3 linked regions of the Coturnix japonica genome follow. The protein of the gene in region 3 interacts with the protein of the main gene of each other region in a pairwise test. Links are inferred from orthologs where the notes say so. Each region holds a gene or a part of one and is shown on either strand. Other genes may lie near its edges. The genes, in order: LBH, CRYBB2 and CRYAB.

Region 1 (5,348 bases), on a different chromosome or scaffold from region 3:
TCAGCTTAGGACACAATATTTGCTTAAAACAAACACTTCAGGCAAGCTGCTTTCAGCTGTGCTCAGATCCACTCTCAAGAAACAAGGCAAGATCCTGCATTGCTGTTTTGACAACGTCAAGTCAGCCTTCAATCGGGCAGCAACACCCACGCTGCTGCAAGATGGCATTAGAGGACAAGGGGGCGTAGAGAACAGGTCTACCTGGTGCTGGAACTGCAAGCAGCACATCAGCTCCAAGGGGCAGGGAAAAAGACTGGCTCTGCAGGGACCACCAGGCAGGAGGGGCACAGAGCCCTCCATAGGCACATCTGCTCATAGCAGGGGCATCTTGAGCCATCGGCTGCATTTCAATGAGGTTTTTTTTTGTTTAGCAGTCCCATGGGAATTATGGGATGTCTATTAAAGATCCAGAAATAGCTCTCCACTGCAGGCACAAGACCCAGCATGACATCACCTCCTCAGCTGCATCTTCTGTTTTGTCTGTGCCTCCCTGCTCCGAGACTCGCATCCAGATTTCCCCATTCACTTCCACCACCTTCAGTAGGCTCAGAGCAGCTTTACTTCACAGATGCAGGAATAAAAGCCGCTCCGTACTAAAAGGCTTTGAAGTTTGCACATCAGCTTGCAAGCATTTGGCACGCTAACTGGAAAAAGGTATCTGTGCTGAGAAAGCACATTGTGCAAATGAAACCACATACAAATTACTAAGCCTACACAGACAGCTCAGTTATCATAGGTATGAGACTTCTGCAGCTCAGGTTTTCACATCATCACAGTCGTGTCCAACCTAAAGAACACCAGGAAACATGGCTGGGGGATGCACACCTCATGGGGACATATAAGCACACTCTGGAGTGTGATATGAGACACGGAGAGGGTAGAAGAAAAGCTGACGAGCCACAAGTTCCATCAGAAGGTAACCAGTGAGACAGGCAGGAGACCTGATGTTCAGTATTATGGGGTGAAAGAACCCAACTGCTTGTTTACGCTCTGGAGGTGTTGGTTTCCTCAGTTTACTTCCAAGGCTTTACTAGGAAAACAAAAGTACTTCAGAACAGTAATTGATGAGGTAGGTCCCAGATCCTTCTCCGCACAGCCCCAAGGGCAGCACAATGGACCCCAGCTTCATGTCATCTCTGCAGGAGAACAAATCCAAGTTCTACTACATAAGAAGCTCTGGAAACTAGAAGCTCAGCTCTCATAGCTCTGGATCCACTGTTTCTTTTCCTGTAGCCAAGAGTGGTCACACTCACTGTGAGCACGCTGCTCTGCAGGTGGGTGAGGGAGGATGCTGCAGCTTAGCTCAAGCCTCAGAGCCAGAGCAGTCATGCTCTGTTAGCTCTGCCTGGTTTTAAGTTATTGCACTACAGCTCTCAGAGCAGCATACCATTTCACACATACCCAACGCCCTCCATCAGCAGGACGAAGCAAGAAGTTCCAAACCCCAAGACAAAACAGGTTTGTGATACTATTTGCACTTGATTTGTCCTTGCTATTTTAACTTCAATTTTCAGCTGCTTAAGGATGATTTCAACTTCTCACTTTGCACAGCCACATTTTCAGCCACGCAGTTAAAAGGAAGAAGGTTGCAACCTACTCTCAATCTTCTTTGCACTAACCTGATTTAGAGGCAGACCTCATCCCCAGCCCACACACCGCTCAGCAGCAGCTGCCCTCTCAATACTCCAGGCCTTTCTGCCATCAGTTCAGCTTACAAGGAAGCCAAAGTCTAGCAGGCAGTTAGCAGCTCCTGTGGGCACTGAGAACCCTGTGACCAGATCACTACAGAGAACAGATCCAAGATAGACAAGTCCTGCATAGATGTGAGTCGTTGCATTTACAGCACCCTCAGGTTCAGATGATCCACTCAAAGCTGCAGGTTTGCTCTCCAGTTCACAGACTCACTGAGGGCATCAGCACTAGGGGTAAAACCTCACTGAAGCTATCAGTCATGAATAAGTGGGGCATCCATCTGTCTCCCACTGTTTAGATAAGCAAACCAATATCAGACCTGAGTGGGCCTGCATACAGTGCCCCATTTAAGACACTTGTTTGAACATCTGGCAAAGACTAGTGCAATAGCTTCAACTCTCACAGCCATTCCCACTGCAGTTACACATTCTCTATAGCAGAGGAAAGCGAGGCCATATGCTTTCCACTAACTCAAGCACTAAAACAAAACAGCTATTTCCACAAACAGGCAATAAACCAAATTATTTGCACTGTTCAGATGGAGAATTCTGACCAAAAAAAGCAATGCAACCCTATTTATCCTCCCCCCCCCTCCCCTCCCACAGCTTTGGCTTCTGCCCGAGCCACGGCCCAAAGTTCTGTTGATTTCATGCTTCAGAGCACTGTCACAGGCTCCTAGCTCATTTTTCAGACATAAATATGCAAGTGTACAACAGCACACCTAATATCCGAATGCCCACGTAGAGCAAGTGCCTCCGTATGGGCTGTGTCACATCTGCAAAGGAAGAACTCTGTACTGCAATCTGCCATGAAGAGTCACCCTGTGCAGAGTAACACAAGAGCTGTGCATGTATTAAACCTCACCAACAAGTCTGCCAGAGTAGGGAAACTTGGATCTAATAGGCAAAGATACACAGCTCACCCTGTGATTGACTGGAAGCACTGAGGCTGAAGGATAGAGGCTGGAGTTTGAAAGCACCCCTTTGCCTCAGCTATTGACTAAGAGGTTAAAAGCTAATTACATTATTCACCAGTTGCAGAATGGATGCAGCTCATGCCTTCAGGTAATGTGTTTGCACGCACACCTCAAGGCTCGTCAGCGCTGCACCCAGCCTCTCTGTATCTTACAATAGACTTAACCCTTTCAAACAGGGGGAAAACCAAGGAATAGCTTGGAAGATTTAAGCGCTGTACAGACAAGTCCCTTCCGCTTCAGACAACTCATTTGCAAGCCATGGTTGTGGAGACCCCAGCAGCCTCTCAGCCTGGTGTCTGACACGGACCTTTCCGGCAGGGCATCTCCTCTCCCACTGAGCCTCTGTGCACACCCAACAAGCTGGGATTTGGGCACTTCAGGAACAAAGCACTCTGCTAAGCACTCGGAGCAGATAACTATGCCGTATTTTACACAGATTCTACTAGCCAAGCAAGCGTCTCAGCTCACTGACCAGCCCTTACTGCAGGACTTGCTATAATATTCACCACGGTCCAGCCCAGGCAGCTCCGCAGGGAATCGAATACTCACTTGATACGAGAGCCCGTCCTTACGGGGGCTGAGTCCGATCTCATCCATAGCCGGGCTGCTCATCATCACTTCGGTCATCTCGGCTGATCTCAGGTAATCGGGGCTGGAAACAAAGAACATCATTCAGACCAACGTCAGGGCTCCGGGGAGGACCGAGGGTCGCCGCTCCCTCCGTGCCCCCACCCCAACCAACTCCTGCGGGCAGGAGACGGAACAACGGGGCTCAGCACCGCCGCACGACCCCCGGATAGGGCGGCAGCAGTGCCCACTCACCAGGGCAGGGGACAAAGCACAGACATGAAGTCCCTGCGGAGGCTGCCCACGCCCTGGGGGTGGCGGCAGGGCACCGAGGCACACGAGGCTGATGTTGGACGGGACCACACAGAGAACCCAAACGCCGCAGCAGCTCTGAGCCCCGGCGGCAGCGCCGAGCCGCCTTAAATAGCTGAGGGGGCATGGCCTCATCAGTGCCCGCCCCTCCGAATGACGGCAGCATTTCATGAATGGCTTCGGAGCGCCGCTCCGGGGGGCAGAGCTCGGAGATGGCTGCGAGGTTCAATGGGTGCCCTCGGTTGTGCTCCGTACACGTGTGCATGCGGGCATAGGTGTGTGTGATTCCTCCGGCCGGATATTGTAAGCTTCTTAGTTTGATATTATATAATGATGGCGTATGTGGGTGTTTGACATCAGGCATCTCCTCCCCTGTGTCACATTACTGCCAGTCCCAAGGAGCTGACCCAGCTCATGGGAGCTCAGGTGGGTACAGGTGAGCCCTGAGGGTCCCTCACTGCTCTGCTGATGGAATCTGTCCTAAGGCTGGTGGGCTCTGTCCTAAGGCTGATGAGATCTGTCCTAAGGCTGCTGTGCTCTGTCCTAAGGCTGGACGAGGCTCAGCCTGCAAAGCACGTTTCTGAGGCTGAACAATTGACGTCTGGGCTGGGGGTGCTCAGTTCCCTCCGATGCCACCAGGAACAAACCTGGCTCAGGCTCAGCACGGGAGCTTGAGGGTTGTTGCTGTTAGTGCTCTCTTTGGCAGGAAGCCGCTGTGAGACTCATCCATATAATTAGCCATAGGTACATTAATTGTCCTTTTGGAGAAGGGCTGAAGCACGAGAAGAGAGATCTGCTCTGGCTGAGGTGTGCACTGGCAGCACTGCAGCTCTGTCCCACCTTTAAGAAGTCCTCGGGGGCTTCTCATTGCATTTACATTCACTTGCATGAAGGCAGACAGCTCTGGGGTTGATGGTGTGGTAGCTGTGGGGTCCACGGCATCTCTGCCATCTCAGATCCCCTGCATCCACACACACTGCAGTATCCTTCTGGCCAAGGGATGGGTCGGGCTGCTCAAGCAGCCATCACTGGTGCCATGACACCCATGTTTTCGCCTCCATCCGGCTCACAGGAGCTCACAGCCCCATGTCCTTCAGGGAAAGTATCTAAGCAAATAAACTCCTCACTTGGAACTGACCACTGGAACATAAGACCTGCATGCTGCCCCACCTGGCACTGACCCCTTCCTCCTGACACTGGCTAAAGGACATGCCCTATTTATTTCCTCATGTAAAAAAAAAAAAAAATAGAAATAAAAGGCTGCCACTCTTTCCTTCCAGCCATTTTCTGCACAGTGTTGCCTTTTGCAGTGACTACTGGCCCATGCTTGAAAAAAAAAGGGAGCAGAAGGCCTAGAGGGGCTGGTGGGTGAGTGGTCCTGTGTGCCAGAGCCCTCGGGCTTGTCCTGATCAATAGGCTTTGGCTGTAGAGCTTTGCTGGTTTGGGACCTTTGCTGGCCCAGCTGTGGTGGGTGAGCAAAGGAGAGCAGAAGGGAGGATGGGATGGAGGTCACAGACATACCACTGGTTCAGGAACCCAGAAGTAGCCATGCAACAAGCCCATTTTCCACCTGACTTTCTTTTCTTCTCTGTTGCTAATGATGATGCATCACGTGAACACTGTCCCTGCTGGCCAGTGTCTCACCCAGCACCCTGGGCTTGGATGCATTCAAGTGTGTGCTGAGCAAGGCAGGATCAGGCCTGAAAGCAGAGCTTGGTGCTCAGAGAGCCCTCACTTGGCTCATATATGTGTCCCGCTAGCACCTCCTTCTGGTGCCTACTGCAAGAGGCATCACGTCTGT
Region 2 (4,957 bases), on a different chromosome or scaffold from region 3:
AGAAATGCTCAGTGCTGGGATGGTTCTGATGTTTTTCCCTTGGCACAGATATCTGCAGGCAGCCGGTTCCGCCGAGGCGACGCAGCGAGGCGCTGCCAAGCACGATGCACAGCGGGGCTGACATTTCCGAGCGGCATTTGGTGGATGATTAATGCTGCACAGTGTGGGGCTGTGCCAGAGCCGATGGTGATGCGGGGCATGGGGGTGCAAAGCCCCACTTGTAGGGCTGACAGCCCCTGGTGTCCCCATTTGGCTGCATCGGTGCCAAACCCACAGCAGAGCATCCCCATGTGCAGGGATATGGCTGCTGTGCCTGTGTCTCCATCAGACCCCATTGGAGCCCATGCTTGGGTACAAGTAATGCACTCAACCCAGCTGTGCCACCCACCCTTGTATCCTGCACCTCTTGCTCCAGGTGCAGCTCTGCGTGCATGCACTGCAACACGCAGCCATGGTGATGCTGCAGGGGGGAACCAAGAAGTGCTGCAGCTGTGCAGTCCCCACAGCCCTGCATGCAGTGCTGCACTGGAGCTGGCGCTCAGCAGCTCAACTCAGAGTGCAAATGATTGAGGTGCTATTTAGTGTTTTTAATGCTAAATTACAGGCTTATTATGGGTTAAAGAAGTCATTAAGCAACACTATTAAGCATCAGTAGTGCTTAATAACTGCTTTATTAAGCATTGAGGTATCCACCCAGCCACCAGGGTGCTCTGAGGACAGCTGTGCAGGCTGGACACCCACCCACCCTGCAGACCCCACGGTGATGCGAGCATCTCCATCCCCACAGCCCATACACAGGGAGGTGACCACTGGGTGCCCACCAAGGAAGGACCCGGACCAGCAACTTTGCAACTCCAAGCTTTATTCGGTTGCGGTGTGACTCACACGGAGGGAGATGGGAAGTGAGGCCGTGGGGGCAGCGGCAGGTGGGGGCAGCGCTCAGCCCCCTGTGCCCGGCAGTGCAGGGCCTTCAGTTGGAGGGGTGATAAGCGCCGCGCTGATGCCACTGCATGTCCCGAATGCGCCGCACCGACTGGATCTGAGGGTGCTGGGCACCGAACTCGGAGCTGTCTTTGTAGTCACCCTTCTCAAAGAGGTACTGGTAGCCTCGGTAGCCAGGGTACTGATAGCCCACCCACCTGCGGGCAAGCACAAGGCATGACTCAATGGCCATGACGCGGCCCAGTGGCCACAACACAACCCAATGGCCACAATACAACCCAATGGCCACGGGATGGTCATAGCGTGGTGCCACGTGGGCACATCATTGGCTCCCCTCGCCCCATACTCACGTGCCACTCTGCACCCTCACAGAGGAGACCTTCTCCTGGTAGCCATGCGCATGGAAGCTGGGCACATCGTCATCGATGATCTCAATTTTCTTGCCGGTGAAGCTGGGGTTCTCATACAGCACAATCTTGTGCTCCTGGCTGTCCTGCAGTGGGGAGAGTGGAGGTGGGGATCAGCACTGCCAGCCCCAGGGCTGGGCAGGGGGCAAAGCTTGGGGCCGTGGGGAAACTGAGGCAAGGGGTCCCCCCGCCGCGCCCCCCAGCAGCCACCCTCAGCTCTCGGGGCACCACTCCCCATCCCAACCACCCCCTGGGGGTCCCTGAGTTCTGCCCCTCCGCCCGCGGGGCTGGGGAGGGCGGGGGAAGGCGGGGGAAGCCATCGGGCTGCAGACCTTGGTCTGGCGGGTGGGTAGTGGCTGTCGGGGTGCTCTCACCACTTTGATGGGTCTCAGGGAGGTGATGCTGTCACTTCTCCGGCTGTTGGTCCAGGAGTCCCAGCGGGGGTACTCCCCCTTCTCAAACACAAACTGCTCACCCTTGCAGCTTGCCTGCTCGTAGCCCACCCAGCTGGAAGGGAGCAGAGGGTGGGCTTCAAGGGGGGGCTGGGATGAGCCCCCCAGCCATGCCCCCTCTTCAACATCCTATAAAACCCAATGAGCACTGCAGTGCAGGGGGAGCAGCCTCCATCTAAGGCAAACCCAGGTATATCCCTCCCCCCTGGAGCCCAAACCTCCACCAACGTACGGTCCAGAGTGCACCAGAATGGAGCCCACTTTGTCCACACCGGCATCCTTCAGGTTGGGGCAGGCACCACTGAGCTCATGGCAGCGGCCCTGGAAGTTCTCCTGCTCGAAGATGGCAATCTGCAGGAGAACGTGGCCATGAGAGCAGGGCATGGCCCACACTGACCCCAAAACACAGGCACTGACCATAGGGCCCCCCACCCTCATGGCACAACCAGCTGCCAGCTCAACACTGATTTCATGGTTCAGTGGGGCAGCAGGAGATCTCATCTCAGATCACATCTGTGGGGATGGCAGGGGACTGGAATCAGATCCCAGGTCCCTGGGATGCCTTGGTCATAGATGACACCCCAAAGGGCAGAGCAGCCTCATGGCCACCCCAGCATTGGAGCTGCAGTTGGGGAGCCCAGAGGGGCTCGGGGTACCCCAGTCCCACAGACTGACCTTGGAGCTGGCGGGCTGCTGCTTGGAGGCCGGCATCTGGTGTTCGGAAGCCATGCTCAGCTGGGCACGCTGCTTCTTTGGGGGGAAGCTCAGCATTAATGGCTACCAGACTGTGCTTGTGGCCCCAGCTCTGTGCCCACATCTGCACCCCATACCCAGCGCTGAACCATGCTGACCCCCAGCCTGACCACGTCCCCCACTGTGCTGCTCGTAGGTTGAAGCCCTGTTCCCCATGGGGTGAGTGAGGGTCCCAGCGCAGAGCTGGGATGGGCTCTGTGCACCAAACAGCCACAAAATGGGGCGGTTCTGGTCAAAAGTCTTATGTCTGACTTAGTGCCCAGCTTTGGGCAGCACTGCCCATGGGTTGCCCAGTTGTCCAGGTGAAAACTACAAGACAGGGTAGAAACGAACCCAGAAAGGATAGGACAAAAAGAGAGAATCCTTACCAGTGAGACCAGTACCGCCTGAGCCAGTGGAGGGCTGGGGCCGAGAGGTGGAATTTATACCGCCTCACAGCAGAACCATGCCCAGACTATTTACCAAATAGCTACAGCATGATTCAAAGCGAGAATGCTGGATTAAACCCCAATGAAAACCTCGGTCAGCTGACCCCGCCGGGCCATTGTCTCCCGAAACCCCCAAGTCGGAGTTATTTCATTAGCTTTCACATTCGCCTCACCCGCTTTGTTGGGTTTGTTGGCAAGGAGATTTGGAGTTTGCATGCATCAGCCGAACGCATGCCAAGACCCAGAGCGACCCTTGTGTGAACAAAGGCCCGCCAGCCCTGCTTCAGGAGTTTTGGAGCCAGGGAATTGATCCCTCCGACAAACCGCCGCGAGCGCCCCAACTGCTGCCCTCAGCACTTCCCTCCTGCAATGCCAACCCGAGGGCTCCGACTGCAAACCACCTGAGTTACCCAGCACTGTGTTGAGCTGGGTGAGCTCTGGGGGGTCCTCCTGTAGCCCCAACCCCTTTTTGGGGCCCCCAGCAGTGACTCAGTGTGGGTCCCATCAGCACATGGGGACAAAGACGCTGTTGGATCCTGCAAGCTCTGCACCTACACGGTGCCTGCAGGATCCCACTTGTGTCCAAGCTGTTTTTCCTGGGGGGCTCATGGCTCTGAGTTCCCCTAGCAGCAGCAGACCCCTCCCTTGTCACCCCTTGTGGCACACAGCATTAGCACAGAGCAGAGTAGCACTTCCAGGGTGTTCTGCAGGGTCTGTACCCCCACCTGCAGCTCCTCCTGTCCCAGCATCATGGAAGGACCCCAGAGCTCCTCTGCCTGAGGATGTCCATCAACACTCGCCCTGATGCAGCACATGGAGTCAGTGCCACAATCTGAGCACAATGTGGGGCTCAGGAAGCCCCACCATGGGGCCACATAGAGCTGTGAGTGCAGGAAGCTGCTTCACATGAGGGATGGCTTTTGGCAGCTCTGGTACATGATCTATTGATGAAACATCCAGAGCAGGATCCTTCTCCATCCCCAGTGCTGGGGGCAGAGTCATACAGTGTGATGAGTGGCCCCATGCTCAGCTGCCACCAGCATCCCACACAAGGGAACCCCCAGCCCAGGGTGACGGCATGTGCCCCAGCACCAAGAAGAGAACCGTAAAAGTGGGTAGAGAAAGGTCTTTATCTGGTCCAACTCAAACCCACCCCCACTGTGCCCACTAATATGTCCCCATGTGTCCCATACAACCACACATGTGGGGTGTTCAGGCAGCTGTGACCCATCTGCCATCCCTGCTGCCAGTCCCAGACACCATTACCGCTTCCATGCCCCATGCAGCTGCTCATGGTACCCACACAAGTGTCAGGATGTGTCCTCCTCTAATTTTAGGACTCACAACAGGGTCCAGAAGTTGGCCTCAAGGCTCAGCCCTCCTGCCTGTCCCATCCAGGGCAGCCCAACCCAGCACTGCAGGAGCAGCAGGGCAGGGCACAAGAGATGCTCCGTGCACCTGGTTGGCACCGGGGCCATGTTCACAGCCAAGGTCATGCCAGCACTGAGCTCACAGTGGGACACGCAGCACAAAATGCATTTGCAACCAAAGTGGCTGTTGGGAAGAACTGGGGAGATCAGCCTGGGGAGCAACAGCTCTGTAGGTGGCTGAGTGCTGCAGTGTGCAGTGCAGGAACAGCCCCAGGGATGAGGGATGCACAGGAGGCTGAGGGGCTGTGTAGGGCTCTGGGGGGTTTATACATGGGGCACAGCCCAGCTATGGGTCAGCCCCGCTCTGGGTGCTGCACTGTGTGTGAGCTGCCCACGTCCCCTTTGGTCCCACTGTGCTCAGGGGCAGCGCTCCCACGGCCCAGGCAGATGCTTTGAGAAGGGAACAAACCCTTGGCAAACGCCCCGAGCTTCAGCCCCGGAGCTGTTGGTTTTGGATGGCCTCAGCCTTTATGTAACTCCACACCCGCTCCGTGTGCCCCTCCTGTGCCCCATTCCCACCCCAACCACGCAGCGCCGCAGCCTCA
Region 3 (5,344 bases):
GCAATAAAGCCATGCTCATCCTTCAAAAAGAGAAGAGAAGAAACAGCCCTGATTAGAAGTGTTCCCTCAGCTCCACCTAAACTATGGGCCTTCAGCACATAGTCTGAGTTGAGAAAGCTTCAGCTCCCAAAAGAAAACTTTTCAGTAAGTTAAAAGAGTTTTTATTATGAGATTGCCTTTGTAAAAATCTGAGAAGAGCTGAAGTGAGATTACCCTGCCCCTGCAGGTGGTGCAGGCACCCTTTGCAGGATGAGGCTTTCTCCTCCAGCTCTTGTGTCTGCCAGCTTCGTTTCACAGTGTTGTGCTGTCATGGCTAAGATGCAGGAGTTACAGCTACCTGCAGAACCAGCAGCTCCTCCTCCTGAGGGTCTCCAGGGCCCACAGCATATGCAGCTCCCCAGTGAGCTCATCTCAGCTCTAGCTCTGGATTCATTTCTTAGCCAAAACAAACAAAAAACAAACAAACAAAAAAAACCCCGCAGAAGCTATTTCAGAATTACAGGCTTCCAGTGTCTATGAGTAGTGCTGCATTTGACTGACAGATCTGGGCACCCAGAAGTTTTGGAGCTGATGGGTACAATGATACAGGTACTTTAGGATTTGTTTCCTTCTTGCAAGGATAGGAGGATAGGTAATCCCTGTTACATACAGCTTTGGACGTGGCTTTTGGCCTCTCTTTGACCTTTTGCCACAGAGCCAGTAAGCAATGGGATGGCTGACAGCAGAGTACAGCCTTTAAGGACTGTAAGTTGGTAAATGGGTATTTTTTCAAGAAGAGATAGCTTCTTGCTAATGGAACATGGCAATGCATTCATTCGTTATGCGGTTTAATTATTACAGCTCATTGTTAACTTATTGAATGCTTCTCTGCATTCCTGTCCTCTTCCAGAAAGAGGGAGGCCCGGAAATGCTTATTTCAAAGTTGATTTTCCAGTTCAGTTCACAGTTCATGCAATACCAGCACTAAATCTCCACTCTGCTGCTGCCCAGTCTGGGATCAGCTGGGGGTTTGCATAGAGCATCTTCCATTAGGACTGGTTGATCAAAAACACTGGAAGTGTTTCAGAAGAGCACAGAGGAGGATTGTTCTGCAGCTTCCTTGTTTAACCATAGGTGAAGAAGCACACATTGGTTAACAGTGACACAGAAGTACCTGGCGCTCCTCGTGTTTCCCATGAATTTCTATCATGTCCCCAATCACCTTCACTTTTAGCTCCTCGGGGGAGAAATGCTTCACATCAAGATTTACAGAAAATTTGTCTTTCTCCAGTCGCATCTGTAAAACAAGGAGACGACTTCAGGCAGAGGTTTCAGCTTCATCAGACTCTCAACATGCAGCAAGTCACGCTCACGCTGGGCTCCCCACACGCACTGTCTGACCTCCTGTTTTCAGTCCTGGGGTTCTCATCTGGCTCTTGCTAGCCTGTTCCATTCATGCCCACCACTACAGCACATAAAACATGATGCTTTCTCTCTGGATAAACAGAGAATAGATATTTTCTGGGAAATAAGAAAGAGACTTTCTCAATCTGAATTTGTTAAAACTGACTCCTATCTACTTTTTCTGAGGTGTCTGGAGATTTCCAGTCTCTGCAGCTGGATTTTGCTAAGTCTTTCTGGAAAAAGAAACAGAGTGTGCAGCTGGCTGCAGCTCATCTGTGTCACTTGCAGGCTTTCCCCTGCGTCGTCACTCTTTAAAAACAAAAATAGCGTGTCTCAGCTGAGCAGCACTACCAGCTCACCCCTCTTATCTGAGCAGCAGGGCTACTGCTGAAACTCTGAGTCACCTGCTGCTCATCTTGCATCCTTACCTTCCATTCTGCACTTTATCATCTCCAGCAAATGCTGCTTTTTGCTTGCTCCTGAGGTTGAATTTGCATTTTCTGCCTGTCTTGGATAAGTCAGTGGGACACGGCAATGCAGGCTGGCTGTCTCTGCCTTCCTGCTGCAGTCACAGTCAGGGAAAACGCGAGCCTCCTGCAGCTCTGTTTTGGGACATGGAGGCAGCTTCCATGCCAGTTCTAGCTTTCTGGTTACTGGTTTCCTCAGTTTTACCTGGAGGGCTTCCTGCTCCTTTTGCTAGATTACTGTGAAGATTTCTCCACTGAAAAAGTCAGATGTTGATGTTGTTACCTGTGGTGCTTATTATGGCTGCTTCAGCATATGACCAGACCAGGTGACTAAACCAAGGGAAACATTAAGCAAAGATTAAGAAAATACTTCCCTCTCACTCCACTGGCTTTGAGTAACTCTTTAAGTTATTTGCACATTGGCATCTGACCTGCATGCTGAGCAAAGTCATTTGAGCTGCGTGCCTCAGCCCCCGAAGCAGATGGCCATTTAAAGGTCCTCCCATCCCATATCTCTCTGAAAACACTGCTCTGCCTGGCAGAGATGCTTTAGCTTGGGCCTTTCTACTCAGCATCTGGGGGCTCCCATGCTGCCTGGCACGGGGTCCCACTGCCCCTCTGCTTCTCAGGAGGACGCAGAATGTAAAATTTTTCAGGGCAGACAGAGAAATCAGGCTTCCTCCTTTCTCTTGCTGGCTTCTACAGTCATTCACAGCACACACACAGCTCAGTTTGTCTCTGTGCCCATGGCTGTGGCAATATTTGCTCTCAGTTACAAGTGATTAGCAGAGAGTGCAGAGGTCCTTGCCTAACACCAAGGAGCAGAGGCAAGAACTCAGCACTCTTTTCCTCATAATAGATTTCCTATTAACTACCTACAAGCAGTGTCCCAGCTCTCCCGGGTCCCCAGCTCCAGACCCGTCAGGATGTGCACCTAGTGGTAACAAGAAACAGTAAGCAAGGAAGATTACCTCTGAGAGTCCCGTCTCCAGCCAACTGGGCATCCGAAAGAAGGGGGATCTCATCAGGAAGGGGCTGAAGCTGGGGGACGTAGGGAGCAGCTCTGACTCCTGCAGGTGCTCTCCAAATAGCTGGTCAAAGATACGGCTCGGTGTTAACCAAGAAAACAGAGGTCTGCGGATCAGGGGGTTGTGAATGGTGATATCCATCGGAGTGCGACAGAGGAGCCAAGCAAACAACTGCTGCGGTGCTGTGCCCAGCACAGGGGGCAGCTTTATACCCGTGCGGCTGGCGGGGCCTCTCCCCCCGAGGCCTCTCAAATAGTGGTGTCAGGGATTTTATTGTCCCAGTCCGGGACTGGTCCCTTCAGCAGTGCCCAGGAGCGTCCGGGGGTTTGAACAGACTGCTAAGGAGGAGGGGGAAGGGGAGAAGAAGGACACTAATGGGACAGCAAGAAGCCAAGCTGCCCAGCCACCCTCTCTGCACCCCACGTGCTGTTTATCTGTTGAGTCCCAGGCAGGCTTGGCGGATGTTCCCAGCTGCTTTGGATGCCAGCAGGATCAATGCAGCTCCTATCTTTGGTTCACATGGAAAAGGACAAGGGACTGTTGTTCCCAGTGACGGCACCAAGGCTACAGTTCCCCACTGCACCCACGCGCCAAGGAAGGGCTCTGCCTTCCCTTAAAGTGAAGGAAGCCCCAGGCCTTAATGAGAGGGCAACATGGACCCCAAAAGGTCTGTGCTGAGGTACCCTGGTGTGCAGCTCTGCAGCCTGGTGAGCACCATACCTGAGCACCTGCTGGTGTGTGCACACTAAGGATGGTTTCCACAGAGCATCAGCTGACAACTCTTGTCCTTTGCCCACTCGAGAAATCGCTCTGCTGGAGAGGGCAGAAGAGCCCAGCACCCTGTGAGCAGAGATAAAGCAGGCACACAGCAGCCCTGCAGAGCTGCACCACTGCTTGCCTTCTCTGGGATGCAAACTACCTTGATCTGCCTGTGCCCAGCAGCTATCAGTTCAGATCATGAGGCTGGGTTCAGCCCAGCAGCTGTCCTTTAAGGACAAGAGCTCTGATTATCTGCAACTTAAATACAGACTTCTGGCTTGAGGGCACATGATTCTCACTGCTAGCACCACCGGTCCCCTGCAAAAGGGCTCGACTCTCTTCCTGTTCACTTGCCTGCAAGATTAGGGTGTAGAATTCTCTCTGCAGAAGCCCCAGCCATAAATACTTTATCCAGTTCCATGTTACGTCAGCAGTAGTGCACCTGCTCTCTCGCACTGCAGAGACATGGAAATCTCTGGTTTCAGAGTACAAGGAGCTTAAATGGGTACTAACACCCAGTTTAGTAAAAGTGGATCTAGGCCAGTTTCAGACTCTGGTTAATGCACCACCTCCAGCACAGGCATTTCTCTGGTCCCACTGAGCAGCACTGAAGCCCTGGCCAAGGCACAGCCTGGTCAGCTGGCTCACAGTGGCACAGTTCTGGAGTGTCAGCATCATGGTCTGCACCCTGTTCAGTGCCACTTAGCGGTCTGCAGCACCTTACCACTCCCAGGAACAAAAGACTCAGCTTCTGGGGGAAACAGATCCCTTTCTGTGGGGTTGATATGAGCGATAAACTCACAGCGATGACTTTGCATGACTGCACACAACCTGACCAAGCATCAGCCACCATTAGGCATAGCCCTGTGCCCTGCTGGGTTGGCAGGGGCAGTGCTGGGTGCCCTGTTCCTGCCTCTTGTTCCCTGCCCAAGGTGGAGAGCCAGGGGGTGCAGGATTGCACCCCGCCGGCAGTCAGAGCCTGCAGCTCTACAGGAATGCAATGAGGAGCTGCCCTCGTCACCCTGGCGAGGCGGCCCGGGGCCTGTGTGCACAGCTATTTTGGTCCGTCTTTTTATCACACACTCCTCCCTGTGGAATTCACCCAACTAAAACCTTGCAATCTGCAGCCTTCGCTCTCAGAGGCAGTGAGAGCTTGGACAGGCCTGTTCCTCAGCTTGCCATGGCCGCGCGGACGGTGCCCCACGCCTACCCCATGAGCTCAGAGTACGAGTTCGCCAACCCCAGCAAGATCTACGACCAGAACTTTGGAGAAGGTAAGCAGGGAGATGGGACCCCCAGCAGTTCTCTGTCTTCAGGTGCAGGGGGCTGATAGAGTCCCTCTGGGGAGGAGCTTCAGGATCCAAGGAAGACCAAGCATGGGATCCCAGGCAAAACCAGGAGGATAGCCAAGGCACAGTCAGGGACTCTCTAAGGAAGGTCCACCTCCTCCTTCCATGCCCAGTGCTGGCTCCTGTGTCCCTCCCCTGTGCCTCCAGTGGCCTGTTATTCATGCACATGCTCTGCAGCATGGAGCAAAGCGCTGCTCCCTCGTGCCCCCTGCCTCACACACACCTCACAGAGGCTGAGGCTGTGCAGGACATGTTCCAGTGCTCATCTCCTTTGCCAGTGGAGGCTGCACCCTGCTCATGGGAGAGGTGAGCCAGCAGCAGTCCCACCCTGCCTACAGCGGGACAGGGGGAGTTTAGA

The links.
Region 1: the proteins of CRYAB (region 3) and LBH interact in a two-hybrid assay, tested with the Homo sapiens proteins (2 studies listed by BioGRID, with this or other methods). The link is inferred for Coturnix japonica from reciprocal best matches to the Homo sapiens genes CRYAB and LBH.
Region 2: the proteins of CRYAB (region 3) and CRYBB2 interact in a two-hybrid assay, tested with the Homo sapiens proteins (2 studies listed by BioGRID and IntAct). The link is inferred for Coturnix japonica from reciprocal best matches to the Homo sapiens genes CRYAB and CRYBB2.

Annotation. Positions count from the first base shown.
Region 1 is NC_029518.1:9,686,777-9,692,124, forward strand, and holds the start of LBH (protein LBH), read right to left. Parts: upstream 3,643-5,348; 5' UTR 3,517-3,642; coding exon 3,491-3,516; intron 3,321-3,490; coding exon 3,218-3,320; intron 1-3,217. UniProt on the Homo sapiens protein: Transcriptional activator which may act in mitogen-activated protein kinase signaling pathway.
Region 2 is NC_029530.1:6,102,223-6,107,179, reverse strand, and holds CRYBB2 (beta-crystallin B2), read right to left. Parts: upstream 3,052-4,957; 5' UTR 2,923-3,051; intron 2,552-2,922; 5' UTR 2,531-2,551; coding exon 2,477-2,530; intron 2,153-2,476; coding exon 2,034-2,152; intron 1,857-2,033; coding exon 1,682-1,856; intron 1,436-1,681; coding exon 1,293-1,435; intron 1,140-1,292; coding exon 971-1,139; 3' UTR 846-970; downstream 1-845. UniProt on the Homo sapiens protein: Crystallins are the dominant structural components of the vertebrate eye lens.
Region 3 is NC_029539.1:5,448,603-5,453,946, reverse strand, and holds the start of CRYAB (alpha-crystallin B chain), read right to left. Parts: upstream 3,223-5,344; 5' UTR 3,020-3,222; coding exon 2,822-3,019; intron 2,746-2,821; exon of another isoform or gene 1,812-2,745; intron 1,277-1,811; coding exon 1,154-1,276; intron 21-1,153; coding exon 1-20. Other genes in the region: HSPB2 (heat shock protein beta-2), read left to right, coding at 4,638-4,911. UniProt on the Homo sapiens protein: May contribute to the transparency and refractive index of the lens. Has chaperone-like activity, preventing aggregation of various proteins under a wide range of stress conditions.